Linked DNA regions of Tamandua tetradactyla. The protein of the gene in region 1 purifies or fractionates together with the protein of each later gene. This does not show direct contact. Links are inferred from orthologs where the notes say so. Each region holds a gene or a part of one and is shown in the gene's direction. Other genes may lie near its edges.

Region 1 (6,922 bases):
TGAACCATCCAAATTACTTATAATGGTCCAATCTGAGTAACATTTAATTTTAGGGAACACTATCTACTCTTAACTTTAGAATTATTTAAAATTTGTTGGCATTTAATAAATACCTTTTTGGAAGCCACATTTCATTAGAAATGTAATTTTTCCAAAGTTTCTGGCCATATACTCTCTTTTCTTCAAATAACTAGGTCTGAAAGCAATGAAAACCTGAAAAAAATAATGTTTTCCCTACGGCATTAGTTCTTAAGTTTTAGAATGTGGATTACTTAGGAAGTTTATTTAAAATGCACATTCACTGGGCCCACGTCAGAAGTCTACTGTGCCTTTGGACCTTATTTTGAGAAACACTTCTGTGGAGTTTCTCTTTTCTTTTTCTTGTGGCTAATATTAAGAAGAATATTTATGATAAAACACTTTGAGGATGGGTAAGCAGTGAGTTACTTATTCATAATTTTAAACATATTTTGAATGACTTCTTCAAGTGAGTTTTCTTCTAAAAGTATATCCATCAGTTGTATACCAATTGTTCTGGTTTGCTAGCTGCCAGAATGTGATATGCCAGAAATGGAACAGCTTTTAAAGACGGAATTTAGTAAGTTGCAAGTTTATAGTTCTAAGGCCATGAAAATGTCCCAATTAAAGCAAGTCCATAAAAATGTCCAAATTAAGGTACCAACAAGAGGTTACCTTCACTCAAAGGCTGATAAAGTTCAGGGTTTCTCTCTCAACTAGAAAGACACATGGCTAACATGGTGAGGTCAGCTAGATTTCTCTCCAGGCTTCTTGTTTCATAAAGCTTGTCCAGGGGTGTTTTCTTTTTTTATCTCCAAAGGTCTCTGGCTGCATGGGCTCTAGTTGTTCTCCTGGCTCTGTTGTGGCTCTCTTCCTCTCTCCAAAATGCTTCCTCTTTTAAAGGATTCCAGTAAACTGATCAAGACACATCTCCCTCCAATCAAAGGTTAGTAGCCACAATTGGATGTGTCACATGCCCACAGAGATACTCTCATCAAGTTTCCAACCTACAGTGCTGAATAGGGATTAAAAGAAAAGGTTGTCTCCACAAAATGGATTAGGATTAAAACATGGCTTTTCTAGAGTATATGGCTTTCAAACTGGCACACCAGTAATGTTATAAATGATGAGAATTTTTCCATGATGAGGTTTTAACAGTTATTCAGGGTGGTTTCTTGTTCTATCTTTTTTTAACTAACAAGAGTTAATGTGTATTTTATATAGAAATGCATTACAGATGTTTTGTGTTCTGCTTTTGCAATTTTTAAATGCCATACCGATCCTTTTTATATTTTATTATAGAAGTTTTCTCAAAATACTCACAAGGGGAATAAGGTGGTAGGCAGTGAGAATGGCTAGAATTTTGATGTTCTAAGAAAAAATTTATTTTGCATAAGCATGATATTTGTGGTCAGATCATTTTATATATATGTAGCCTGAATTGGATACCAGGTATTGTCCAGTACTAGTACATTTGCTTTTTAATTTTTTTTTTTTGTCATGTAGACTACTGCCTTTGTCATCATATTGAAACATGTATTTCTGTAGTTCAGTGTCTTCCTCCAACTTCATGCGGTTGTTGGCAGAATTCAGAAATCACTGGCCATCAGTGGGGACTATTTTTATCTCCTAGAGGTTACCTGCCATTTCCTGCCTGGTGACTCTCTCTGCAACATAGGAGTTTCCTTCTTGGAAGCCAACAAGAAAGTATATCTGCTGCTGCTTTGAATTTCTCTGAGATCTCCCTGGCTCTGACTTCTAGATTTTCTTTCAAAGACTCACCTGATTAGGTCAGGCCCAATCATGGGAATGATGTCCCATCATATTCATAGATCTTTCCCAGGCTTATGGGTGGTGGATTATGTAGGATGGGTGTATCTGAAGTGAGAATCTTGACAGTCATTTTAGAATTCTGCCTGCTACAATGGTAGACATTTCATTAACTTATTTTATAAAGTTTATGAAACATATTTTTCATTATTAAAATAATACATAGCGACTATAGGCATTTATAAAACATACTAGAGAGTTAAAATGAAACATAAATTTGTACCACCATATCAACAACACCACACTTAAGTGGTTTTCCCTTTTTTTTCCCCCATGAAAAGGCTTGGAATCCCCCACCCCCACCCGTCCCCTTTGTTTAGCCTGGTAGAGATGGCAAAGTCCTCAGGCAGGGGGACTGCCCCACATTTCTTTCCACCTATCACCCCCTTGTGGAGTTTGGGACACTGGAAGGCTGCCCCTACAGGCAGAAAGGGGCGGTTAAGGGGGTAGATTCCTGAGTGTGACAGACCTAAAATAAAAGTCATTCATGACAGAGACTGGTATTAGCAAAGGTTTGATGGGATGTTTTTAAAACCCCTGCGACTTGTCTTTCATCCTTCAACAGGTAACCGGCTCCACTTAAAGGGAAATTGAAACCATCCGAAAGGAATACTTGCAACTTCCGTGCCACAAACTTCCAAACATCGGTATTCTTTATCTATCCTTTCCTCATTCCCTCCAATCACAATGAGGAAGGTACCCCTCCTAAAGCATTCCAGATTCCATCTTCTCAGGGAATTTACTGTTTTTTTCTTTTCATCCCCTTATTCCTTCCTTATACTGGCTCATTCCCATCCCATACTTAAGCATCCTCAAATTTCTTCCTTGTGAAAGCTAACCACCCTCCAACGCCATGTACCACTGTTTTTTATTCTCTGCTCTCATTATAGTCAAATCTTCTAAAGGGTTGTTTGTCTGCAAACTCTTATTACTTCTTTCTCACCCAGGTCACCAAGTACTGCCTGGGGCAGTGTGTCCTATAGTAGGCACTGCACAATCATTTTTTAAAGTATATGATGGATGGATGTACAGGATTCTGAGGGTACAGACAATAAATTCATGTATGGCTTCATATATAGTAGACTGGGATGCTGTTTGACTTACTGAGTTGAGAAATTATCTTCCTATTGTGATGTCTTTGATATACGACTTCATTTTGAAATAAAGTTATGGAAAGTCAGCATTATGCCACAAGCAACAAGTATGAAAACAAGTGGGGAAACAATGGTGCCGCATAACCAATCCGTTCCCACATAAGGACATGGGACCGCATCACCCAAGGGCCGCGCGTCCCCCACCCCATCCGAGGGGTAGCCCGAGCCCAGTCTGTGCCTAGATCGGCCCTTCCGGCTGGACTCCTGTTTACAGCACTTGGCCTCGGTCTCGGAGTGCAGGGGAGAGCCGAGCGGCTCTTGGCCAATGGCAGCTCTTGAACTTACACCTCTAGACGTCAGCGCGGCAGTGTAAACGGATGTCACACAGCTGGCTCGGAAGCGTCTCCTCCCGCTCCAGAAAAGGGGGCGGGGGCGCAACGGCCTCCACGAAACCTTGGGCTCCGGAAGGGAATAAGGCGCGCTGCACCCCGCGAGCCCCAAGCCCTAGCGGGCCAGCATCCTCTCTGCAGTCCCCCGCCTGGCGGTAGTCCCGGGTGAGCTGCCTGAAGCCCGCGTCCCCGCCTCCAGCGCGCCGCCGCGGCCGACTCCGCCCCCTTTCAGCGCGGGCCGCGCGCTCCCGCAGAGCCCAGCCGCGTCGCGAGTGCGCGCACTGCCGGCGGAGCCGCAGTTAAAATGGTCCGAAGGGGACCCGGCGCTCCCCCGGCCACGGCGCTGACTGACTGAGCCGGCAGGCCGGGCCCGGACTCGGACTGGTCGCATAGCCGGCAGGCTTTCTCCTTCTCTCGCGTCCCCAAAGCTCTCTCCCGTCGTTTTCCCGGCTTTTCTGGGCAAAGCATGTAGCCCCCGTCGGGCACCCAGGCAGCTCGCAGCCGACGCCCACCCCCCACCGTCGCGTGTGTGCCTGTGTGTGCGTGTGTGCGTGTGCGCAGAGCGGGCGACCCCGCCGCGGGCCCGGGGCCGAGCCAGCGAGCGGCCTGTCCCGCCGCCGGGAGCCCGCCTCTCTGGGCCTCCCTCCGTCCCCGTCCCTATCCCCGTCCTCGGGGCCTTCTATATGGGCCACCTTCTCTCGAAGGAGCCGCGTAACCGCCCAAGCCAGAAGAGGCCTCGCTGTTGCAGCTGGTGCCGCCGCCGCCGCCCTCTCCTCAGGCTGCCCCGCCGGTCCCCGGCCAAGGCGCCCCCTCAGCCGGCGGCGCCCCAGAGCCGGGACTGCTTTTTCCGCGGGCCCTGCATGCTCTGCTTCATCGTGCACAGTCCCGGCGCGCCCGCCCCCGCCGGCCCAGAGGAGGAGCCGCCGCTCTCGCCGCCGCCGCCGCCGAGAGACGGGGCCTACGCCGCCGCCTCCTCGCAGCACCTGGCGAGGCGCTACGCGGCCCTGGCCGCCGAGGACTGCGCGGCCGCTGCCTGTCGCTTCCTGCTCTCTTCCGCCGCCGCCGCTGCCGCCGCCGCCGCTTCGGCCTCTTCGCCCGCCTCTTGTTGCAAAGAGCTGGGGCTGGCCGCGGCCGCCGCCTGGGAGCAACAGGGCCGGAGCCTCTTCCTGGCCAGCGTGGGGCCTGTGCGCTTCCTGGGGCCGCCTGCCGCCGTGCACCTCTTCCGGGGGCCGTCGCCGCCGCCGCCCGAGCCCACCACATCTCCAGAGATGGTGTGCAAGCGGAAAGGGGCAGGGGTCCCTGCTTGCACCCCCTGCAAGCAGCCCCGCTGTGGCGGCGGGGGCTGCGGTGGCGGTGGCGGCGGAGGAGGGCCTGCGGGGGGAGGAGCCTCGCCGCCGCGGCCCCCCGACGCCGGCTGCTGCCAGAGCCCGGAGCAGCCCCCGCAGCAGCTCTGTCCCCCGCCTTCCTCTCCCACTTCGGAAGGTGCCTCCATAGAGGCCGGCGGGGACGCTGTCCGAGCTGGGGGCGCCGCCCCCTCGCCCGCCCAGCAACAGCAGCAGCATGAAGGCGGCGACGCGGACGGTCCGGAGTCCCGCGAAAACCCCTGCGACTGTTACCGGGAGCCGCCCCCCGAAATCCCAGACATTAACCAGCTGCCGCCATCCATTCTGCTCAAGGTGGGTGTGGGCCGCAAGGATGCTCGCTTCCCCAACTCCGGCCCCCGCCTCCAAGGTTTCTTCTCTCCTCCCCCTAAGCACGGGGGAGGGGGCTGCCCTGAGAGCCAGGGACATCCGATTGGGAATTCAGTAGGGAAGATGCTTACCGTCTGTTTTTTGAACTAGAAAAATGTGGAGTCTGCTGACTGTTATAACTTCCATCTATTACCCACAGTTTAAGGTTCGTCTCTTTTTAGATTCCAAGCCCAGTGGTTTAGAAACTATTTGTAGGCTTTTGTGAAATATTTTATCAATTGAGCAATTTATACTTACTGGATAGTGATTTTGTCTATTAGTATTTGAAAGCCTTCGAACGATACTTTTAGATTTAATAGCTGCTGGTTGAAATAACAGTTAACTTGTACTGAGCACTTACTATGATCAGGCACTGTGCCAGAAGCTTTGTATACATAATATCTCATTTAATTCTTCATATAACCCTGTGAAATAAATATTGTTAACGTCTTCATTTTATTCAAGAAGAAACTGGCATTTAAGTGCTATGGGCCAGACTTAACAGTAGTGAGGCAGGCAGAAGTGGTCTTTGCTCCGATGATGTTTACACTCTAGTGGGGCATGAAGACATTGAATGACTTGTACAGGGTCACACCCACAAAGTAAGGGGCGCATCTGGGTCTGGAACTAGGGAATTTAGGCCTGCCTGCCCTAAAAAACCCTGTTCTTCATTCTGTGTTGTATTGCATTACTTCTGTTTAATCCCTACATTAGAGCATACAGGTTCCTACAAAGTAAGGGCAAATGTATTTTTTTGTTGGGGATGGGTGTGTGGAGAAGAGATGGTTGTTGTGTGGTAGCTTTGCAGCACTTTCAACTAAGTGAATTTTGCAATTTTGTCAATGTTAGTGACAAAGTTATGAGATAGAATTTGTATGAAGTTATGATTAACTTAAGTTCTTTTGTCTCATTTTTTGCCTGCTGTCGCTCCTTCCTCTTCTCCCTTTCTGGAGCTTAAGAAACATAAGCCTCCCTTTTTCACTGTGGATAATACTTAAGGTTAGCCATAAATAACCTTGTTAAGAATTTGACTACTTTTAGTGATACTCAAGGTCACCAGTCACCAGTATACCTTCTTTGATTAGTCTTTTTTGCATATTTATAATTCCGTATGTTTGGATCTGTTCTACTGTGAACAGTAGAATTAGTCTTCTTGTGAAAATACAGCAAAAGTGAGGGGAACATGACAGCACTTCTGGAGGTATATTGAAGAGTAATTGCTTGTCATGTGGTGTGGGAAGGGGATGGATTTTAGGGCAGAGGGAACTTTCCTGATACCTCTAGATCATTGATAAATTTGGCACGAGGTTTAATTGCTGTCTTTTTATTTGGCTAAGTAAGACTGCTAAAAAACAAACCAAAACAAAAACGAGGCACTTTTTATTTAAATTATTTCATGCGGTAGAGAACATTTTAATTTTATTCCCCCCATAATCTTGCAATGTAGTAAAACCCTATAATAAATTTATTCTATCTGCTTCATTCTTCTTTTTCACATTTTTGCTGTAGACTGCTGAAAACTTGGCCTGAGGATCTTTTGACAATTACTTGCCCTTTTATGTTGGAGTATTTGGACATGTTAAGTAGATTTCCATTTCTTGTAATAGAAACTGACATAAAGATTCTCTAACAGATCTTGTGGTCCTTGTAGCATTCAGCATGAAGTGAGTGGGACAGCCTGGAATGAATTGAAATCAAGATTCTTTCCAAGTAGGATTTTGGGGGACAAGGCTTTTGGGGCAGAAGGCTGTATGCCTTGCTTTCTACTGTATTCCCTCCCCAAGTGCAGTACTCAGCATATGGTAGCACTCAATAAATATTAATGGGAAATGAATGGCCGAGTCTTGAGGGAGTCTGACCT
Region 2 (7,003 bases), on another chromosome or scaffold:
TACCTTTAAAGATTTTTTTTTTTACTTAACTGAAATAAAACAGAAGAAAATGTTGCTTGCCAAAACAGTTTGCAAGGGAAGGTATAGCAAATTGTTCAATAAATATTTACTAATTGTCTACTACTACATGGCAGGCTGGGGATGGCAGTGGGTAGGGTAAGGCATGTATTGAGTGTACAATGCATGGTCCCTATCCTCAAGTACTTCATTTTGGTGGATGACCCATGTGAATTCTACACACATCTGAAGAAGCCAAGTGTTTGTAGCAAGCTTCATCTACTCAGGCAGTTACAGACAGTCACGCTCAACTATGAAAGATGAACTGAATCAGGTATAGGACATTGGCCCCATCGCACAGTTAAGGTGGGCTGGTATCAGTTTTACATTCTCAAATGAAATCTGGGGACAAATTGGTTGGGGATGCCCCATTCTTGAGGGGTTCCCCTGGTAAGAATAAGGGGGAATTCCCTTAAATATGGTAGAACCCCAACAGCAAATACAGGATTTAGAGTATAGAACAGATCCCTGCTTGCTAGTAGGAGACTAGAAGGTGTGGGGGAATTTAAAAAAACTCCATTTACAGAGTAGGAGATCCCCTTTTGCTACTTAAAGTTCCCTTGGTATAGGGTATTCTGTGAGATTGCCATTACTATCCCTGTGATCTTTGGTTCTGATTCGATCTTCCCTCAGGGTTTAGAGAAGAAAACTCATACACATGCACACACATAAATATATAAACCCATATACATATATATACATATACATACAACACTGTTTGGCTGTTAAATAGTTCATTGGTCCTAGATTTCCACAATTTTAGGCCATTTGTTTATACCATTTGAAACTGGTGTCATTCTTTCCTAATTAGTCCAAGCTTAAACCTAATTCCAGACAGAAGACAATGGGGATCTTATAAAATATAAGACAAGATAAATGTCTGGGAAATTTATCACTCCTGATACAATTAGCAGCATTATGGATTCAAAACATTTTTGGTGATTCTGGAACTAACAGAAAGAACAAATAATACAAATAGCCTAAACTTACAAAATATGTATTAGGCATAAAAGATGAATAGATGTAAAGATTTGAACTTAACCGTTTTATAACGGATATAAACTTTAATGTTGAAGAAAAATTCTTAAATCCATTTTCAGTTCCTAACACTTCCTCAAACCTAGATAGGTAATTAACTTCAGTAATTTTTCCCTTTTTACAGGGGAGAGGGTTGTTATGGTTAAAATATAATAGATAATCCATTTCCATGCAAAGTGCCTGGAATTATAAAACAAAACAAGTGACTGAAGGACAAAGCATGATATTATTCGTTCCTGTATTACATGGAAGCACATATTACATACAGTCAAGTGGATATAATCTCACAACTGCAGGTCACAAACTGGGTCAAGGTCACAGGTTCCACTGTCGTAAACTTTCATATAAATAAAACAAAGCAAGACAAAACAACCAACCACAAAACGTACCACCCTGAGGACCTTTTATAATTTCATGCTCTTGATTACCAGTGGCCAGCAGACAACGTGGATGGCTCAGATGAGTGCTATGTGATCATTCTGGGAAAACAACTCAAAGCCAAAATCTTTGTATGGCAGGTTAGTAATGCTATTCTTTTTATTTTTTTAGTGTTAATCTTTACATTACAATTACGTTTACTCTATAAGGTAGAACTTATGTTTTTTTGTTTGATCTACAACACTGCTCATTTATAAAGATGCTAAAAGTACAGTGAATTAGGTGGGTTCTGCTTTGAATACATCTATGCAATCACTAATATTCATGAGTTTGGATGTGAATGCCTGTGTTTAGCCCATTAAAGAATATTAATATAAATGGTAGTTCATAATATATTTGGGAAAATTTTTAATTAATCTTCTAAAACACATATTTCACAGCACATAGTCAAAGTCTTTAAAAGACAATATACAATATTGTTATTTTTAAAATGGAAAAAGAATAATAAATATATGCTTATGTTCTTGAAATCAAGAAACATAAAACTAGAAGGCCTAAAAACTGTAACATAAGCTCTGTTTAAAACACATAACTTTAAGTGAACAATGTAGAAATTTTACAGCCCCAAGAACAGCCCCTCCCACTAGATACAACTGTAAAGAGTTCATAAGTATTCCTCAGTTTTTTCTATGCACACCTTAATGTACTACTATTACTAAATTTAAAAATATACCTTACTATATAAACATGATTTTTCATCCTCAACAATGTATCCTGGATGCATTTTAGTTTTTCTATTCAACTTTTAATAAATATATTCTTAAAAGAGTAAAAAGCCCCTCCATAGTTTGAGAACATCTTTTTTTTACCTGAAAGGTTTGAAAAAAAAAATTAAGACATTTCACGTTGTAAAATAGTAAAAGGAGCCTAAATACTTGAACATTTACTAAATTTAGCATAGTAAGGAATTTAAAAAATTCCAGCTCAATCTGTTCTTTTAGGGTCTCTAAATTCCACATGCAATGTAAACAGTTAAAAAACAAAAAACACCAAAACTCTTAAAAGTTCATTCTTGTCTTAAAACACCATCTTCCGAGCTGCAAAAGTCCGTATAAGCAGACTCCTCCCCGCTCCTGGGGAAAACCCTGCCTAATATTTATAACGTTATGACATACTGTAATACTCACAAGGTGGTTGTAGAAGTATAAACACGACTAGAGTTATCTGATTGGCTGCTGGTGATGTAACACCCATGTCAATACTTCCCAGTGAACGCACGTGTTCGACCTTTTATTTAAATTTCCATTTCATCACAGCAATAAGACACTCGGGGCGGTGCATTTTCTGTGAAATGATTACAGCCTTGGGCCCGAGGTGCCGCCTCGCACACACAATGCATCAGAGAAGGAGGTGTCCATGGTTGCAACCTCCTCGCGTGAAAGGCACTCCTTGGTCCAGTCTTTGTGAAGGAACAAAATAAGTTCACTTCCTTGGGCACCACCACCCACCCCCCGAGCAAATGACAAGGCTGGAGCGCAGCGCCCACCGCACAATTATTTCCAAAGTCCCAGGTGAACTCGTGGCGAGAGAAGGAAAATGTGCGTCCCGGGCGCGGGTAGGTGCGTGTGGGCAGCGGGGAGGTGGCCAGACCCTGACACTCGCCAGCTGTTTGTCCACCGCGTAGCCCGCCCCGGCCGCACACGCCCGCCCCCTCCCCGAGACGAGACCCCCAGTCTGCCGCCCGGCCTTTTGTCCCCCGCGCGTCCGCCGACTTCCTTCCCCGCGGCCGCACCCCCGCCCCCAGGCCAGAGGCGCGGTCCAGCCCCTTTCCCGGTCCCCTGGCGCCCCCACCCCACCCCGGCCCAGCCCCAAGCCCAGCCCCCTCCCCCAGCCCGGCCCCCACCCTTTCCCCCTCCAGCGGTTACTGCTACCCCGGTGCATTGTGGGCTCACGGTCCGTTGTTCATTTGCCATTCGACCTCCGCCGGGGCCTGGTCGGACGGAAACGCTCCGCCGGCTTTATTGTCGGTTCGTTATGTGGCGGAGCCCAGCAGTTTAACGTGCCTCTTGCTCTCAGCTCCTCGGAAGCCGGCGGCGGCGTTGGGACCCCTCGGCGCGCCGGAGGAAGGATATCTGTTTTGGAGGGTCTGTGTGTGCGTGGGGATTTAAAGCGGGGGCAGCGGAGGGTCCCCCCTCACTCCGCCTCTCAACTTCGAAGGCCCCACGCGCCCCCGGCTAGCTCCTCACCTCCGCCGTCCGCCTCCCTTCTCCGCGCGGGACGCTGCGCCGAGCGCAGCAGGGCGGAGGTGGAGGACAAGGAGAGCGGCCGGAGGCGGCGGCCCGGCGGGCGGCGGCGGTGGCGGACTCGTGAGGCAGCCCCGGGAGCGAGAGCCAGCCAGCCGGGCGGGAGGGCGAGGCCGGGCCCCAGCCCCGCGAGACCCGAACGCCGGGGGCGGGGCGGGGGCGAAGCGGAGGGGGAGCTGCGGGGAGCGCGCGGGACGCGGCCCGAGGCCGGGCGCGAGCCGGGGCACCGGGCGGCGGCGCGCGCCATGTCGTTCAGTGAAATGAACCGCAGGACGCTGGCGTTCCGAGGAGGCGGGTTGGTCACCGCCAGCGGCGGCGGCAGTAGCAGTGGCTCCACGAACAATAACGCTGGCGGGGAGGCCTCGGCTTGGCCTCACCAGCCCCAGCCGCGACAGCCCCAGCCGCCAGCGCCTCAGCAGCTCAATGGGCGGGGGGCCGACGAGGAAGTGGAATTGGAGGGCCTGGAGCCCCAAGACCTGGAGGCCTCCGCCGGGGCGGCCGCCGCCACCGAGGAAACCAAGGAGTTGCTGCTCCCCCAAGACGCGGGCGGCCCCACCACGCTGGGCGGCGGTGGCGCGGGGGGCCCCCTGCTAGCGGAAAGGAACCGTCGGACTCTGGCCTTCCGAGGAGGCGGCGGCGGGGGTCTCGGCAACAATGGCAGCAGCCGCGGCCGCCCCGATACCTCGGCTTGGCCCCTGAGGCATTTCAACGGACGAGGGCCGGCGACTGTGGAACTCGAGCTGGACGCGCTGGAGGGGAAGGAGTTGATGCAGGACGGCGCGTCCCTGAGCGACAGCACCGAGGACGAGGAGGAGGGGGCGAGCCTGGGCGATGGCAGCGGGGCGGAAGGCGGCAGCTGCAGCAGCAGCAGGCGGTCGGGCGGCGATGGCGGGGACGAAGCGGAGGGCAGCGGTGTGGGAGCTGGCGAAGGGGAGACTGTCCAGCACTTCCCGCTCGCGCGGCCCAAGTCCCTAATGCAGAAGCTGCATTGCTCCTTCCAGAACTCCTGGCTCAAAGACTTTCCTTGGCTGCGGTATTCCAAGGATACTGGCCTTATGTCTTGCGGGTGGTGCCAAAAGACCCCTGAGGACGGGGGAAGCGGGGATCCTCCCCAAGTGGGGCATGACGAGCTTTCCCGAGGGACCCGCAACTACAAGAAAACCCTTCTGCTGAGGCACCACGTTTCTACCGAGCACAAACTCAATGAAGCCAACGCCCAGGTACCGTATATCCTGCTCTTACTTTTTCAGATCTCTAGGTAAAGGCTCATCAGCTAAAAACTCCATTTTCCTGGGTAAAGACGTCGTTCCATTTGGAAGAGATGCAGGGAGCTTAAGCGAGGGGGTGGGGAGGGGGGAGTTGAAAAAGCCTGGGAACAAGTTTTCAAAAGTTGTGTCTGTGGAGGGGGAACGGGCGGATGGTGGATGGCAATTTTCTAATCGTAACGCACGATTTATTTCTCCTGATTTTTGTATGACTCCGATTTCTTTGCTGTCTCTTCAGATTGAATGGAAAGAAAGTTTAAGAAAGTTGAGATTGTTGTTTTTAACCTAAAAGATTGACTTTGCGGTCAACAATTTATTAGCTGTGATTTTAGAGAAGCTGCCTTATGTTCAGTCTTTTAAGATTATATGTTGGTGGAAGTCAAATCGGGCAGCTTGCTGAAGAATGCAACACTTTCCTGAACCGTTGACTTTAACCCTTTCAGGAAAATATCCAACCGAAAAAAATTCTAACAGGTCAGGATAACGTTGATATGAGAGCACTGTGATGTGGAGGAAGTTATTTTGGAAAACGCTCCTTGCTCTTGTGAATAGTTTAATTAAAACCATCTCTGTTGAATTTCCTGGGGGAGGGGGGGGGCTTGCTGTTGTTAAACTAAAGCACTTTTATGTTGTCTCCATCTACCTGGATTTTTTTGTGCTGTGAGATTTTCTATAGCTCACCTTTTCAAAAAGTTGCTTATAAATGCAGTTTACGTTAAGTATTTTAAACTTAGCATTTAGAACGGTTTTAAGTGAAGTTACTTGTATCCATAGTTGATTTAGACTGATAGAATTTACCCACACTTCTTGAATAGTTAAGTCCTTAGTAATAAGTAAAGTAAGCTGTTCTTTAATTCTTAGGCTGTGTTTTAACATTTCAAGTTGAAAGATAGTTACCTAGTCTTATCATTTTGATATCACTTTTCAAAGCAGACAGATCTTGATCAGTCCTCAGATTTTAGGCAATCCATAATGGTAGGTGGAATTCATTCTTTCGTATTGGTAGGTAGTCAGATAGTCAGTTGGCTTTAGAAAACCCTTTCGGGTATTAGTCCTTCAGTGTTTTCTGAGTGATCTTGCCATTCAGCACACTTATACTGAAGTTAATTAGGCACCGTCCAATCGCATGGCACAAAAGTTTTTCAGAAGTTAGGCTTTACCTTTTAAAACATAGGGTTATATTTCCCAGTAGATAATGTAGCTTAGTTTTTGCACAAATTTCAGTTGCCTAAGCCCTAGAAGAAAGATCACCTTTATAATGCCCAGAAAGGTTAAGTAACATTGTCCTTACTTGTAGGGTCCTTGGGAATAACTGAGAGGAGAGCCAACAAGCAATAGTTTAACTGAAAAAGAATGAGTTTTAAAGTACATGTGGGTTCGGTCTCAGCTTTCTGCAATTACTAGACTTGCAAGCTTGGGCAGAATGGAATGAAATAGACTTAACATTTCCTTGTCTTCTGTGTGCCAGGCATGCATTTATTAACCTTACTCTGTAAGGTATTTTTTATTCCCATTTTACAGAAGAGGAATCTGAGGCCTTAAAGGTTAAGTAATTTATTCTTGCAGTTATTTAGTAAGATGGCAGATGTGGGGATTTGTGAAATCAAAAAGTTTACTTTTCCAAATAATGGTAGTTTATTTACAAAATTTTAAAAAGGCAATTAGAATGCATTTTCTTAATCTGTAGTGGAACCAGTTACTCCTTATCAGCATAGCCTCTCCCTGTGGGCAAACCTGAATGGAAATGCAAATTATAATTAGATAGCTGTTTAGTGAACCTGAAATCAAAGAAAGGGGAATCAGTTAGATAACCGTGAGGTAAATTTAACGTGATGTGTCCTACGGGCTTGTACTGGCATCGGGAAACTCAGTCCTAGGTGAAGCCTTTTCAAAACTTAATCTCTGAACTATCCCTCCTTTCCCCCTTTTATCCTTCAGACTCCCCTTTTTGTAGATAAATCT
Region 3 (7,055 bases), on another chromosome or scaffold:
TAAGCAGACCCTAATTTGAGAAGCTTACTTGAAGGGGGTGTTTAGAATCTGACTTATTACCTCCCATGATGAATAAAGTACAGCAATTTTTCTGACGACATCTCTGATATATCTTACTTTGTTTATAATTTGTATGCTGATACCTTTCCAAAAAGGATTAAAAGTATCATTTGTACAGTAAGTTTATAATAAGACAGTTTAAAATAAAGTCAGAGGTTAGAGAATAAAACAAAGAAAATTGAAATGTAAGAGCAGCGAAAAAAAAAAGGGTACCAGGGACCAGGGATAGGCTGTACCAGTTGAACAGGAAACTTACCTCTAAGGTCTATATCCTCTATGTCATTTGGTTTCTTTGCTCCATTTTAAAAACATATTTATCCCATTTTTTTCCCAACTAAATTTAAACTCTGGAAAGAAGAGACCATGTCTTAAACTTTTTTGATGTCTTCCCGTATCTCTGCCCGAGTACCTTCCTAGCACAGAATAAATGCTCCACAAACATTTTTTTTTTTGATTCTGACGATGAATATATACTACACATATTTTCATAAATTTGTAAAAACTTTGACATAATTGAGGGGGACATACTTGCTTCCTTAAATATCCACTTAATATTTCTTGTCATACTATCAGTCCTCAAAATGGATTCTAGTAGTGATTGTTAGAAGTGAAAAACATGTCACACCTGTTGATGCACCAAGTTTCCCCCTATGTATCTCTGGGCTGTTATTTGACTTCTGAGTCTCATGGAAGCTTTTGTTGGAGTTGTGATTTTGCTCTGTATGCCAGAGTTGAATTTCTAAGCTTTTTGTGGATAATCTGCATGCTCTAATTTTCTCATGAAATTTACTGTTTAGTATTCTGACACTATCAATTACTTTGCCTATTCACCCAGAGGAGCTGTTTATTTTCATTATTTTAAATTTTAGTAGAGGAGAAACAGCTTTAAGAGTGTGAACCATTCTTTTTCTTCTCTTTTCCCTGACCTTGTTAGTGAAACACCTTGGCTTTTACAGTATATTTCATCTGTCAAGAATATTAATAGATTTACCTAACTTTAAACAGGTCAGGCTGAAATTGGGCCTTCTATCAAACCGAAAAGACCTAGAAGTCATCAAAAGCACAGCTACAACAGTATATTTCACAGAAAAAAACAATCAAAAAAACCAAGCTCTAGTTATAAGGTGGCCCTGGGGTCAGTGTGTAATCATGAGTGATAGATGTTTGAGGAAAGAGTGGTGACCATCACAACTGTTTCAAACAGGATATTCTAAAGGCCATTCAGTTCCAGGAATTTCATGTGCTCCTGTTGTTGCTTCATTAGCAATTCAACATGTTTGATTTGCCCAAACCATACTTTCAACCTATTTCAACCATCTGACCTGGAAAGCACGTTTTGCCCACTTGAAAGGTCTCCTGGCAAGTTGGTTAGCAGCAGGCCTACCAATCCTGCTTCAGATAGTAAAGAATAAACTCATTTGACAACTAATAGTGCACTGACCTCCTCCGCTTATGCAATTTTTTGCAACTTTTTGTTTGTTATCCAACTTTTTACTTGTAATTCTCGCTTCCTCAACAGGATTTCCAGTTTCTTGAAGGCAGACATTTCTACATTTGCTTGTGGCCGTGGTAGCAATGAACACATTTTTTTGCAGGGCAAGTACCGAATAAAATACGAGTTTATTTGAAGGAAGGCAAAAGAGACTGGTGTATCTCTGTCCTTGGCAATGTAAAGTTTGGGTTTGATAACGTGTACTAGGTAAATAGGGATGGAATCAGGTTAAGGCATCTACACGTATCAGTTTTACCGTAATTCTCTAAAACTTGGTAACCTAAGAATGTTTTTGCTTGTAATACTGTAAATGCACACGGGACGTGGGAGTTCTGTGGGAAATAGAGACGCTGTGCTGTGCTCTAAACGACCACGCAGGGGAAGAGCGCCCGGGAACGCGCCTCTCGAAGCCTCCAGCGTCCCGAGCGCCCCGACGGGCACCTGGAGACCATTCGCGGGTTCTGCTATCCCACGCTCTGGCAGGCGAGGACCTAGGCGTCGTCAGCAGCAGGAGGGGCGAAGGGGAGCACGGCTTAAAGCCGGACTCGAATCCTCCTTATTCCCCGCGTAACCGAGTGCACTCGAGACCAACACACTGGAAAGTGTACTTATGGTTGTCACGGCGCACACCGAAAGGTTCGCTCCGCAGCCCCAGAGCGCAGGGGCCTCCCGGCCTGGAAACAAGCCCCGCCCAGCGCAGCTGTCGCCACCGCCTGCGGGATCCTTTCACTTTCTCACGGCCAAGTCACCCAGAGGGGCGCCGCTGCCGCTGCCGCCGCACCCCGGACTCCGCCCCGCGCCGCTCCGCAACCTGCTCCCGACTGGCCCGGGCCCGCCCACCCCCAGCAGCTTCTGCTCTTGATTGGCAGCTGAGAGCGGCAGCTCCGGCTCGCCTCTCCCATTGGCAGGCACCGCTTGTCAGTCCGACGAATGCCTGCCGCCCCCCCACCTTCCCGAAAAGTCGCCCTCCTATTGGAAGAGACTACGGGATGGGGGTGGGCGGGGAGCGCCCGTCCAGCCGCGCTCGGTCAATCGCGGAAGCCCAGCCCGGGGAGGGAGGGAGGGGCAGGGGGAGGAGAGGGGCGGGCCGAGGGGGGGAACATCTGGCCGGCGCCGCCGCGTGCGTGCGTGGTGCGTCCTCCCGCCCCCTCCCCTCCGCCCCCCCCCGCTACCCCCCCACCCCCCGGCCCGGCGGCTCCGCGCTCGCTCCCTCGCTCGCTCCCTCGCTGTGTCTGGCAGGCTGCGGCCGCCGCTGGGCTGCTGCCATGGGGAGCCGCTGAGAGTGGGGCCCTCTTCGCTGCGCCGCGCTCCTCCGGCTGCCAGCGGGGGTGGGTGGGAGGGAGGGGCGGGGGGGAGCGGGCGACGGAGCCGGGATTGGGGGGTGGGGGGGCCGGGAGGGAGGGGGGCAGGAGGAGGAGGAGGAGGAAGCCCACCAAGTCCGGCGGCGGCGGAGGACGCGGAGGAGGCGGAGGACGCGGCGGCGGCGGGGACGCGGTGACTTAGGGCCGCTCCGTGTGAGTCCCGGCGCCGGCCCCCCCTGACCCGGCGCCCCCTCCGCGCCCCGGCCCTCTCGCTGACCGGGGACGCCAGTTGTGCAGCCTCGAGCCGGCGGGGCACTACGAGCGGAGGGCGGGCCGGGGGCGCCCCCAGCGAGTGGAGTTAGTTTGTGTGGTTGGAGCTGTCGGGGCGGCGGGGGGCGGTGCAGCTGCGGGAGGCCGGGGCGCGGGGACGGGGCGCTGCAGCTGCGGGGTCGGGGCGGGGTGCTGGCTCGCGGGCTCCGCGCCACCCCCCCAACCCCGGGCCGGTGCAGCTGCGGCGCGGGGCGGGCTCCCGGCCGGTGCAGCTGCGGTGGCGCCTCTCGGGTGCGGAGGGCGGCGGGCTGGGGGAGGGGGCTTGGGAGCCGCCGCAGCTGCAGTGGCGCCCGGGACGGACGCGGCTCCGGGGACCGGTGCAGCTGCAGCGGCGCCGGGGGGAGGGGGCCGCAGGGGGGGGCAGGGGCCTCTCTCGGGGCTGGTGCAGTTGCCCGGAGGCCCCGAGGGCTCGTGTGCTGAGACGTCGGGGAAGCGGTAGCAACCACTCTCCTCCCCCCCCCCGGCTTCTTCTTACGACTTTTCTTTTGTTGTTGCCGTGACCCGGGTCTGTTTTCTCGTCTGTTGTTTAAGGTGTTTTCCTGCTGCACCGGCTCTACGCCTTCCACCTCCTTCCCTGTGGTTTAACCTTCCTCTTTCCCCGGGGTGTTTTATGCACAGTGAACTATGTAAAGATTTGCCATTCTTTCCCCCTCCCCACGCAGCAGCCCGCCCCCCTCGCCCCCATCTCTTTGAAAAACAAAAACCGCACCTCACAAAACCTCTATGAACCCGCGGGAGCGAAACGTAAAGGAGGTGATTTGTGGAGTGGGAGTCACTGGCCCATTGCGGTGCTTGGGACTCATTAAACTGTCACTCACCCCCCCACCCCCCCACTCCACTGGGTAAATGGGGTGATTAATGTCTGATATATTGGACTGGGGCGAGGACATTTGTGGATAATAAGTGGTGTAGTTGAGAAGGAATTTATCTCCAAAGAATGTCTCTTAAAATAGGCCTTCATAATTATGTCATTCACCGCGAAGTTAGAGAAAGTTAGGTTTGTGACTTTGGGGGAAGCCGAGAAGGACAGGACAGAGTCGTTGGTTTTTGTTACTCTTTAACTTCGCCACGGTGTTCTAATGAGAACGGAGTGATTATCACCAAGACGGAGACATTGACGCCCTAGGCCCCAGTTCCTTTTCTACCCCTCACCCTTAGGAGAGTCTGCGGAGATGTGTTTGACATTCACAGATGTCGCAGCACCTTGCACGGCTGCGGACCGTCCTGCCAGGGTTACATTACAATGTCATCAGCCGTTAGAAAAGACCCACGAAGTCCAGCTCAGAAGTTTTCCAAACTTACTAGACCTGGGTTGTGTTTCACCCCCAACCCCCACCCCTTTTGAAAGATTTTCTTATTACTGTGAACATTGCAGAGTGACCCCCAAAAAAGATTGTTATGGGACACAGATCAAGAGAACGGCAAGGTTCTTCTGCTTTTTTTCTGAGTAGAAAGTCAGATCAGATAGCAGGTGCAGCAATCATTTTAAGTGATTGTAGCAGGTTGTATCAGTTTATTAATTTGTCATTGAACTGAAGCACTTTCCAGGATTTCAGAAAGTGCAGTTTCAGCTTGTTGATACTGAGAATTGAAATTTGCATTAACTGTAGCAGTGTGAGAAATTTTACTGAGCATGTAAGTGTAGATATGTAGTTAAATAAAAGTGAAATAAGGTAAGCCAGGCTGAAGTTATAGTTCTGAATAAGTCTTCCAACATCTCTGAGACATGTATACCATTATCTCAGCGGAAAAAAAAGTGCGGTACAAATGTTGCAACGGGACTGGAGATGTCAAATGGGTTGGTTTAAAAATATCCGTTAAGTTGCCTTTGAAACTAAATGTTGGAGTTGAATAAAAGTGAATCTAGATTTCCTGAATAGCACTGTGGCTTGAGTGTGCTGTCAGTATATAAGCTAGTCCACCAACTTAAGACAGAAGTGTTGCTATTCCATAAATACAGTAGAACTCCATATGCTGAGTTTTTCCAATTTCTTCTGTTAGAAAGTTTGGAAAAAAAAGGGAGACTTTGAAGTATTTTGTTTATACTAACAGAAGAGAAAAGTTCTCCTAAGAAAAAGCTGGTGGCAGGAGTGTAGAGGAGTAGCATATGGCATTAAAAGGAGCACAGCTGGAGGTAGCATTTCCATCTGAACATGATGTCAGAGCAGCTGACAGCCTGCCATCCCTCAGCCTTTTATTCTAACACACAGACAGGGAGTTAGTGTGTGCGGATCTGTGGTGGAGAAGGTATCTCATTCCTCTCTAACATCATCTCCACTTTGCATCTGTCTCTCTTAGTCTGCTTTTTTTCCACCGATGTAACAGACCGGGAGCCAGCAAGACTCAGAGGAAAGGACTTAATCAGGTTTATGTGTCCTAAAGGTAGGAGTAGCAATAGATTAGATTGAGCATATTTCTGTTTTGGTGTTTTGTTTATTTAATTTTAAAAAAATCACATTACTTTTCTAATCCAGTTTAGGCATAATGTATGAAATTGAGTATGAATTGAACATCCTACTGGAGTTGAAAATCTCGGGCTTGTTTAGTTTTAATGTTTTATCCCTTTTTACTTGAGTAACTTTTTAATACACAGAAATATTTCAAGTTTTGAAGTGTTAAAGGCTTTGAAATACTGCTTTTGGAGATCACGTTGGATTAATAGACTTTCCCCCCCGCCCCTGCTATTTAGATTCCTTTTGCTTTTGGGGTAGAAATAGTAAACTGGAATCAAGCATTCAAACTTATATGAGAGGATTCTTCTAGTTAAGAAGCTAGATTGTTGTGTAATTAATTCCACTGTGAAACTTTACTCTTCAAAACATTCGGCAGCACTACTGAAACATACAGCTGTAGTGCTTTTGAAACCGAAGGTTTTTTAAGAAGAAGAAGAAAAAACTTTTGTCCCCACGAGAATAGTTTGCCTGGTTTCCTCATTTCTCTTTCAAATATATATTTAAGAGATCTTTTATTTCAGCATAACAATAATTATTTGCAGGAGTTTTTGTGTTAGCGACTAATTTAGAACTTGTAGATTTGAGCTGCCTGAATTGGCCAGACAGCTGTAATCGCACTCCTCTATTCTTAATCTCTTTATCTGGGCAGCAGCTGCCATATGGCCACAGTCAGCTGGATCAGATGTTTATAAGCTTCCTTCTTCGTCCCTCTCTGTCCTCTCAGCCTCCTAATTTGATCAGGGCTACCTTGTGAGCTGCCCTCCAATCTTTATTTTTAGCCCTCTCAAGGATTAGGATTGATGTTAGCTGTGGGGCACTTAAAGTGATTGTATTGTAAATCTTGTTTTATTCTGGCAGGGGCATCCTGAGGAAGGTATTTGGGGTTAGAATGATAGTTTGAGATTATCCTGGGCAAAGTGTAGAAAAAGGGAAGTAATACCTGTACACTAAATTAATATATATCTATCCATCCCCCCAAATATACTTTCTGGGATGGATGGTGCAGAATTTTGAGTCTGGTCACAGGAAAGGAGAAGTTGTTTCTTTACTTTTAAAGAGTTTATCCATTGCGTTTGAATTTTGAACCTTTGTGTGTGTGTGTGTGTGTGTGTGTGTGTGTGTGTGTGTATACATATATATATCCTTGCCTTTCCTCTCTGTTTCACGCACCCTTCTCAGAAAATGAGGGCAACAGTGCATATTTGAAAGAACAGAATCTAATGGGAAAACAAAATATATCAAGTTATGTTGAAACAAAGTATTTTCTGTTGGCAGAATCTGAAGTAAGGCAGATAGGGAAAAAAAGTTTCTCTTTTTCTAGAAAGGTTTTTGGGGGGATGAGGGTGAAGGGGAGTGCAGTGAACCTAAAAAGCTTTTGCGTTTCATTTGAAAGTAGTATATCTGTATTTAAAAGTTTGA
Region 4 (7,722 bases), on another chromosome or scaffold:
AGTGGAATTGCTAAGTTGTATGGTAGTTTACCATTTTAAGAAACTGCCAAAATTTTCCGAAGTGGCTGTACCATTTTCATTCCCACCAGTAGTGTATAAGAGTTTCACTTACTTCGCATCCACATCAACAGTTGGTATGGCAGACTTGTAAACTGCAACCATTCGAAAGTCCTAGTAGGGGTAGCTCATAGTTTAAAGTGGCACTTTTCTGATGACGATGTTGAGCATCTTTTCAGATGCTTATTTTGCCTTTCATAGAACTTCCTTGATAAAGTATCTCTTCAAATATTTTGTCAGTTTTTGGGAAGTTGTTTGTAATCTTACTTTAGAGTTGTAAAAGTTCTAAAGTTCTAAATCTAAGTACTTTTTTGAATAAATGTGTTTTCTAAGTCTGAGTCTTTTCATTTTTATAACAAAATTCAGTGAAAACATTTATAATTTTGACTAAGTACAACTTATCAGTTCTTTTGTGGATTTTTCTTTTTATATTATTTCTAAGAAATATTTGCCTTACCAGTGGTCACAATTATTTTTTTCTTTTTGACATCTTATGGTTCCAGGGTTTGTAATTAGGTCTGTGGCCCATTTGAGTTATTTTAGTAGATGGTATAAGGTACAAATAAGATTCTTCATTTTTTTGTATATGAATGTCTACTTGTACCAGCACTCTTTTTTAAAAAATATTACCCTTTTTTAATTGGATTGCCTTTACACCATAACTGAAAATCAATCAACAATATATGTGTGGCTCTATATCTACATTCTTGTCAGTTCCATTGATGGTCTAACTTTACTCCACAAATAAAGGAATCTGGAGGAAGAGAGGGACACATTGGTTGGTGGTGGTGACGAAATGATATGGTGAATGTCTGTTTTTCAGTCTTCAAGTTTCTTGCCAGAATTCAGCTGACTTTTGTCAGCTGGTCAGCTCCCAAGAGACAGGTGTTCTAGTTTCAAACTATTTTATAGAGAAAGACCTATAATATTCTTGTATAGGTCAATATTGAGAAAATGAAGGAATCATTTTTTTTTAATTTATTAAAGTGCTAACTCTAATAAGGGATTATCCTAGGTGCTTTAAAATGTACCTGCATCAGTTCTAGATGTTTTTTTAATCTCATTTTCTATTTGAGAGGACTGAAGCTCAGAGAACTTGAGATGTTTCCGAGCAGATTGGGGGTTCCAAGCAGAATCCCATGAGGTGAGTTAGGGAATGAGGCTCTAAGTTTTGTATTTTGGATTTCTGTGATTTTTATAATCTACTTTTTACTTGCAGAATTATTCTCCTTCTCCCTGGGCTACTGCTGCTGCTGTTGTGTGTGTGTGTGTGTGTGTGTGCATGTACGTATAAGTATAGCAATGCTTGAACATTTAGAAGAAACCTTGGTTTAAAGTTCTGCTTTTGCCATCTTCAGATTCTTAATAGTTTTATCTTTGAACTTGTGTTTTATGAGTAAGTTCATGGGAAAATGGAGCACGCAGATGAGCATATGGAGATGGTCAGACAGCAGTTCTTGCATGTCCTAGTCTTTGTCTACTATTGTCTTCTGGAAAGAGAATGCTTTGCTAAGTAAGTTTAGGGGAACACTAAAGATTATGGCTTCTTGCCCTGCTACTCACTTTAAATATACTCTTCTGGACCATCTCATACCAAGCTGGGGCATCAGCACATAAGCGTGGCATCTCAGCATGGTCAGCAAAAAGGAAACCTTGAGGCTGACAACTCTGCTGATCTGTTTTCTCTTCTCTGATGGTCCAAACATTATGGCACTGAGTAAGATAAGGTAGTTCCATAGTCAAGACAGGGGGTGGATCACCTGGCCTACAGACTGAACACACAAAGCTATAGGGAAACTGAGTCAACAAAGAGGGAATATGGCTAATTCTCTTTTGGCTAGGCTAAAAGAATGGATCTTGTGTTCACAGCTGGAGACTGTGATACAGTAATGGCAGGAGAGATCTCCTTGAAGACCAGATGCCACCAGCACATGTAAAAGGTCCATCATGGGGTGGGATGCTCACAATGTCAGAAGGATATCTGAAACATTCTCATAGTTTCAGACACTAGTAGGGAGAAGACGTAGAAGGAGGAGTCTCTGAGAGATGGAGCAATTTTATCCAAGATAAACTAAAAAGCATTTAAACAGAGCATTTGAAACATGGGATCAGACTAAATTTAAAATAAAATTGGGTCCTCTGCCTGGTGCTGTTGCACACCAGGCCAGGCTCTCAGCTGCTCAAGAACAGTTCTGGCTGCTGCAACCAGTGCATGTGCCCCCTCCAGATGGCACTTAGCAGGCGTTGCTCAGTTTCTGAATTAAGAGTACAGATAACCTGCCTACCAGCACCAGCTGTACAAAGAAACTCTGGTCAGTTTGTCTTGATGACAGGTTTGGCTTAGCTTTTCTGGGACGTGATAATACCCATGTTGAGGTTAGCATGGCCAGTGATGGATGTGAAGTACATCATTTTGATCTTAATGTAAAAATAGTTCACATTCTGTAGAGTTAGCACCTTTGGTATCTCTGCCTGTCCATGGGCTGCCCATCCTGCTGTTGCTGCCCTGAAACACCAGAAAACTGGGAACCATCTTGAAGAAATTTAGGCATCACAAGATTGATATTCTCAGGACAGATCTGGAAAGTGCAGAATAGAATGTTTTGGGAAATCTTTATTTTAGAAGATGACCTTGAACAGATTGGACAGCTCATCTTCGAGATCCATCTCCACTGGCCCAGGTTCAAGGTCAGTGGTAGGGACAGCAGTGTCATGTGCTTTTGGTACAGACTCCTCTAAAAGTTGGAACAATAGGATGTGCCAGGCTTTTTCACAGTTATAAAGACATTTAAACCTCAGCTATTCCTGAAGAAGACATTTTTAATGCAAGTAGTAGTTATAGTCTGAGTTGGGTGAATATGAGATGGAAATAGAATGTGGGGGACACATCAAGAACCCAAGGAGATATTTGCAGAGTGGAGCATGTCTTTGGTTCTAATTGTCTGTTTAGTTGCCTAGTCTCCCACCAGCCTGCTGCCTTCTCACGGCAGGGATTATGTTATCACCTCTGTTGTGCATATAGCCTGGTGTCTGGCATGTGGTAGGAGCACAGTAAATACTTGTGGAAGGGATAAACATGGGAAATGCTGAGAGAGTCGAAACCGCTTACCCACACCCAAGCTCTTTGCCTTTTTGCTTTTGAATTGGAATTACTGTACCAAAACATGTTTCTAAAATTGGAACTACTGTACTCTAAGAAATACTCTATTTGTGAAGTCCATTTGTAAAGCCAACATCAATCTCAGTCTCTTCAATAATGATCATAATTTTTATACCATGAAAGCATTGTAGCATAGCAGTAAAGAGCAGAGGCCCTAGAATCAGACAATATGAGTTTGGATCCCAGCTCTCCCATTTCACAGTTGGAAATTAACCTTCTTTTCCCCTCAATCTTCTCATTTTAAAAATGGAAATAAATTTTTCCTGTAAAATTGTTGTGAGAATATGTAAAGCATGTAAAACGCCTGGAATTTAATAAGTCCTGAATATTTTTCTTTGACTATTTTATAATTGGAAATCTCTTTTGAAATTGCCATATCTTTAGTGACTAATTAAGTTGATTTTTTCTTTTTCTTTTTTTTTGCATGGGCAGGAACCGGGAATTAAACCCGGGTCTCCAGCATGGCAGGAGAGAATTCTGCCGCCGAGCCACCATCCCACCGCCCTAAGTTGATTTTTTAAAATCTATTAACCATTTGTCTACTGACATTAAAAGAGCATAATTTCATGTTGTGGAAAATGTTGGAAGAAATAGTGTCAACGTGTTCATTCATTTGTATGCCAAAATTTTAACTTACAGTCACGTATAGAAATGCAAATTAATAAAATACCATAAAGGCAAAAATCGGCGGCGTGGGGGGGGATGCACACTCCAATGTTGCTGGAAACAATAATTTGGAAAGATTCATTATGTCTTCAACTAATATCCTACTGTTAGGATTTATCCAAAACCAGGGGAAAGTTTTGAGCCCAGATTCTGTAAGTTTATTACAGATTCTATACAATGCACAAGAATGTATAGACCCAGAAACAAATATTAGGCAAAGCTAACAATAGCATATAATTGTTGGAAAATTGTGTAGCCATTTAAGAAGTTGAGAATGAAAAACAAAAGCATGAAAACATGATGGAATTGGGAGCGAAAAACTCGATATATTATTTACATAGTATGGGGACAATTTAGTTTTCAGACAGGCAAATTATATGTGTTTTAAATGATTTAAACCCGAAAATATGAACAAAATTATAACTGAAGTGGCAGTTAAATTGTTTGGGATAAGAATTACAAAAGTGTTTTATAAAGAAAAAATATTTAAGCCTCCTCTTCCCCAACCCCTCCTCTACGAGGTTTCCTTTCAATTTACCGGAGAGCCGTGTTTCACTGTAATTAACACGACAGAAACCAGGAAGTGTAAACCTTAAAGAAAAAGTATGCATTTGGAGAGAGAGTTCGGATGCCGCGAGAGATGTATACGAAGTGCGGTATAATATGCCCGCCTTAATCGAGTCCCTCCAGAGGGGCATTTGCGGAGAGCCCGCTTCTCCCCGACGCCCTCCCCGCGTCCCGCGCACTTCCCCTCCCCTCCCCTCCCCCCCACGCCCGCCCACCGATGAGCTCAGACGGATGCGCAGCCGCAGTGGCTGCCGCGGCCGCTCCTAGCCCGGGGCATCCTGGGATTCTGCCTTTGCGGAAGGACTGGCTCAGTGTCCCGGATTAGGCCCGTGTTCCAGGCCCAGGCCGGGAATTCCAGGCTCTTGTTCGGAGATAGCCCCGCAGGCGCGGCGACGGTCTGGTGACAGCGGAGGGCGCAGCCGGCTGCACGCCGAGGTGCCCGGCCTCGCCGCTGAGCGAGCCGCGGAGCCTCTGTACGTGGCGGCGCCTCCCCCTTGGCCTGGAGCGGAACTGCTGCGGGAGCGGCTTCGAAGGCCGGACGAGGTGAACCGGGTCATTTAACTGCCGTCAGGTGATGAATCATCAGCATAATATTCAGATTTGAGGTCCGCATCCCTTTGTGGTCCTGCTACAAAGCAGTTTTCAGTGGATGACTGACAGAAGTGTCCTGAGGGGCGCCACAGTGACTGTTCTTGATAAAGAAAGAGAGCTCTCCCGTTTCTTGGGAGACAATCTTGATTCCTTTAAAACGTTGAGGTTACTGCCTCTTTCCGGGAGACATCTCTCTGTGCAAGAAGGCGGCTTTCACATGAAAGTGTCACTTGGTAACAGCGAAATGGGTGTTTCTGCCCATTTGCAGCCTTGCAAGCCAGGAACCACACGGTTTTTTACCAGCAATACGCACAGTTCAGTGGTATTGCAAGGTTTTGATCAACTTAGAATAGAAGGATTACTTTGTGATGTGACCCTGATACCAGGTGATGGAGATGAAATCTTTCCTGTTCACAGAGCTATGATGGCGTCTGCTAGTGATTATTTCAAGGCGATGTTCACAGGTGGAATGAAAGAACAGGATTTAATGTGCATCAAGCTTCATGGCGTGAACAAGGTTGGTCTGAAGAAAATCATTGATTTTATTTATACTGCAAAACTTTCTCTTAATATGGACAATCTTCAGGACACACTTGAAGCTGCCAGTTTTTTACAGATTTTACCTGTTTTGGACTTCTGCAAAGTATTTCTTATATCAGGGGTCTCTTTAGATAACTGTGTTGAAGTTGGACGAATTGCTAACACCTACAATCTTATAGAAGTGGATAAATATGTTAATAACTTCATCCTTAAGAATTTTCCAGCATTATTGAGTACTGGAGAATTCCTAAAGCTCCCATTTGAACGGCTTGCCTTTGTGCTTTCCAGTAATAGTCTGAAGCACTGTACTGAACTTGAACTCTTCAAGGCTGCTTGCCGCTGGCTAAGGTTGGAAGACCCTCGGATGGATTATGCTGCAAAATTGATGAAGAACATCCGATTTCCACTGATGACACCACAGGACCTCATCAATTATGTGCAGACAGTAGATTTCATGAGGACGGACAATACCTGTGTGAATTTGCTTTTGGAAGCTAGCAATTACCAAATGATGCCATATATGCAGCCAGTAATGCAGTCAGACAGAACTGCCATTCGATCTGATTCAACTCACTTGGTTACATTAGGAGGAGTGTTGAGACAGCAGCTGGTTGTCAGTAAAGAATTACGAATGTATGATGAAAGGGCACAAGAGTGGAGATCTTTAGCCCCCATGGATGCTCCTCGTTACCAGCATGGCATTGCTGTCATTGGAAACTTCCTTTATGTAGTTGGTGGTCAAAGCAATTATGATACCAAAGGAAAAACTGCTGTCGATACAGTTTTCAGATTTGATCCTCGGTATAATAAATGGATGCAAGTTGCATCATTAAATGAGAAGCGCACATTTTTCCACTTGAGTGCCCTCAAAGGGCATTTGTATGCAGTTGGTGGGCGCAGTGCAGCTGGTGAACTGGCTACAGTTGAATGTTACAACCCAAGAATGAATGAGTGGAGCTATGTTGCAAAAATGAGTGAACCTCACTATGGCCATGCTGGAACAGTGTATGGAGGCTTAATGTATATTTCAGGAGGTATTACACATGACACTTTCCAAAATGAGCTCATGTGTTTTGACCCAGATACCGACAAATGGACACAGAAGGCTCCGATGACTACAGTCAGAGGTCTGCATTGCATGTGTACAGTTGGAGACAAGCTCTATGTCATTGGTGGCAATCACTTCAGAGGGACAAGTGATTATGATGATGTACTAAGCTGTGAATACTATTCACCAACTCTTGACCAGTGGACACCAATTGCTGCTATGTTAAGAGGTCAGAGTGATGTTGGAGTTGCTGTCTTTGAAAATAAAATCTATGTCGTTGGTGGATATTCTTGGAATAATCGATGTATGGTAGAGATTGTCCAAAAATATGACCCTGAAAAAGATGAATGGCACAAAGTTTTTGACCTTCCAGAGTCACTTGGTGGCATTCGAGCTTGTACCCTCACAGTTTTTCCACCTGAAGAAAACCCTGGGTCACCGTCTAGAGAATCACCTCTTTCTGCACCTACAGATCATTCCTAGGAGTAAGGTGTAATACTTTTGCAATGGATCATGGGTGATCTCATATTTCTTCTTTGGTTGTATCTCTTCTTACAGTGATTGGTACAGTTATAAGATAAAAAGGTAACTGATGTTCTCTGTGTTGTTTGTCTTAGTATATGTAGGAAATGATTAACAAGTGTATTCTGAAAATGTATTCAGTGTAGCCAGCTGTTTTAACAAATGTAAAGAGATGTGTTTAGAATGTTTAGACGCCTTTTTTGTTGTGCTGTATAAATCAAATCGGAGGTTATTGCAGTAAATGAATGATTATGTGCATTATGTATCAAATTTGAAAGTTTTCTTTTCATCTTTGACTGCAAAATATCAAGGGAGGCAGACTCTGCAACTGAAAATAAGCAAAAGGTTGCCAAGTATTTTTAGCTACCTCCCTCTTTTCAAGGAGTTTTGCCATACTTTATCAAATCACCAGATTGTGTGGGCACATTCAGACTATGTGAAGTTTCTCAGCAGACAAAAGAAATAGTAAATTAAAAAAAAAAACAAAGCAGTTTAGCTCTAAATCATGGATCTTGTATCTGTGGAGAGAGAGAAAGGTAGATGGGGGCTACAATATACTAAATTAACAACC

What was found.
Region 2: the proteins of FBXL17 (region 1) and ZBTB10 purify together in Homo sapiens (affinity purification with western blotting; 3 studies listed by BioGRID and IntAct, with this or other methods). This does not show direct contact. The link is inferred for Tamandua tetradactyla from reciprocal best matches to the Homo sapiens genes FBXL17 and ZBTB10.
Region 3: the proteins of FBXL17 (region 1) and ZBTB18 purify together in Homo sapiens (co-immunoprecipitation; 3 studies listed by BioGRID and IntAct, with this or other methods). This does not show direct contact. The link is inferred for Tamandua tetradactyla from reciprocal best matches to the Homo sapiens genes FBXL17 and ZBTB18.
Region 4: the proteins of FBXL17 (region 1) and KLHL9 purify together in Homo sapiens (co-immunoprecipitation; 3 studies listed by BioGRID and IntAct, with this or other methods). This does not show direct contact. The link is inferred for Tamandua tetradactyla from reciprocal best matches to the Homo sapiens genes FBXL17 and KLHL9.

The regions. Positions count from the first base shown.
Region 1 is NC_135347.1:22,019,030-22,025,951, forward strand, and holds the start of FBXL17 (F-box/LRR-repeat protein 17), read left to right. Parts: upstream 1-3,915; 5' UTR 3,916-4,014; coding exon 4,015-5,007; intron 5,008-6,922. UniProt on the Homo sapiens protein: Substrate-recognition component of the SCF(FBXL17) E3 ubiquitin ligase complex, a key component of a quality control pathway required to ensure functional dimerization of BTB domain-containing proteins (dimerization quality control, DQC).
Region 2 is NC_135332.1:124,292,413-124,299,415, forward strand, and holds the start of ZBTB10 (zinc finger and BTB domain-containing protein 10), read left to right. Parts: upstream 1-3,987; 5' UTR 3,988-4,021; coding exon 4,022-4,996; intron 4,997-7,003. UniProt on the Homo sapiens protein: May be involved in transcriptional regulation.
Region 3 is NC_135333.1:15,432,584-15,439,638, forward strand, and holds the start of ZBTB18 (zinc finger and BTB domain-containing protein 18), read left to right. Parts: upstream 1-4,046; 5' UTR 4,047-5,552; coding exon 5,553-5,565; intron 5,566-7,055.
Region 4 is NC_135328.1:75,144,087-75,151,808, forward strand, and holds KLHL9 (kelch-like protein 9), read left to right. Parts: upstream 1-4,714; 5' UTR 4,715-5,099; coding exon 5,100-7,112; 3' UTR 7,113-7,680; downstream 7,681-7,722.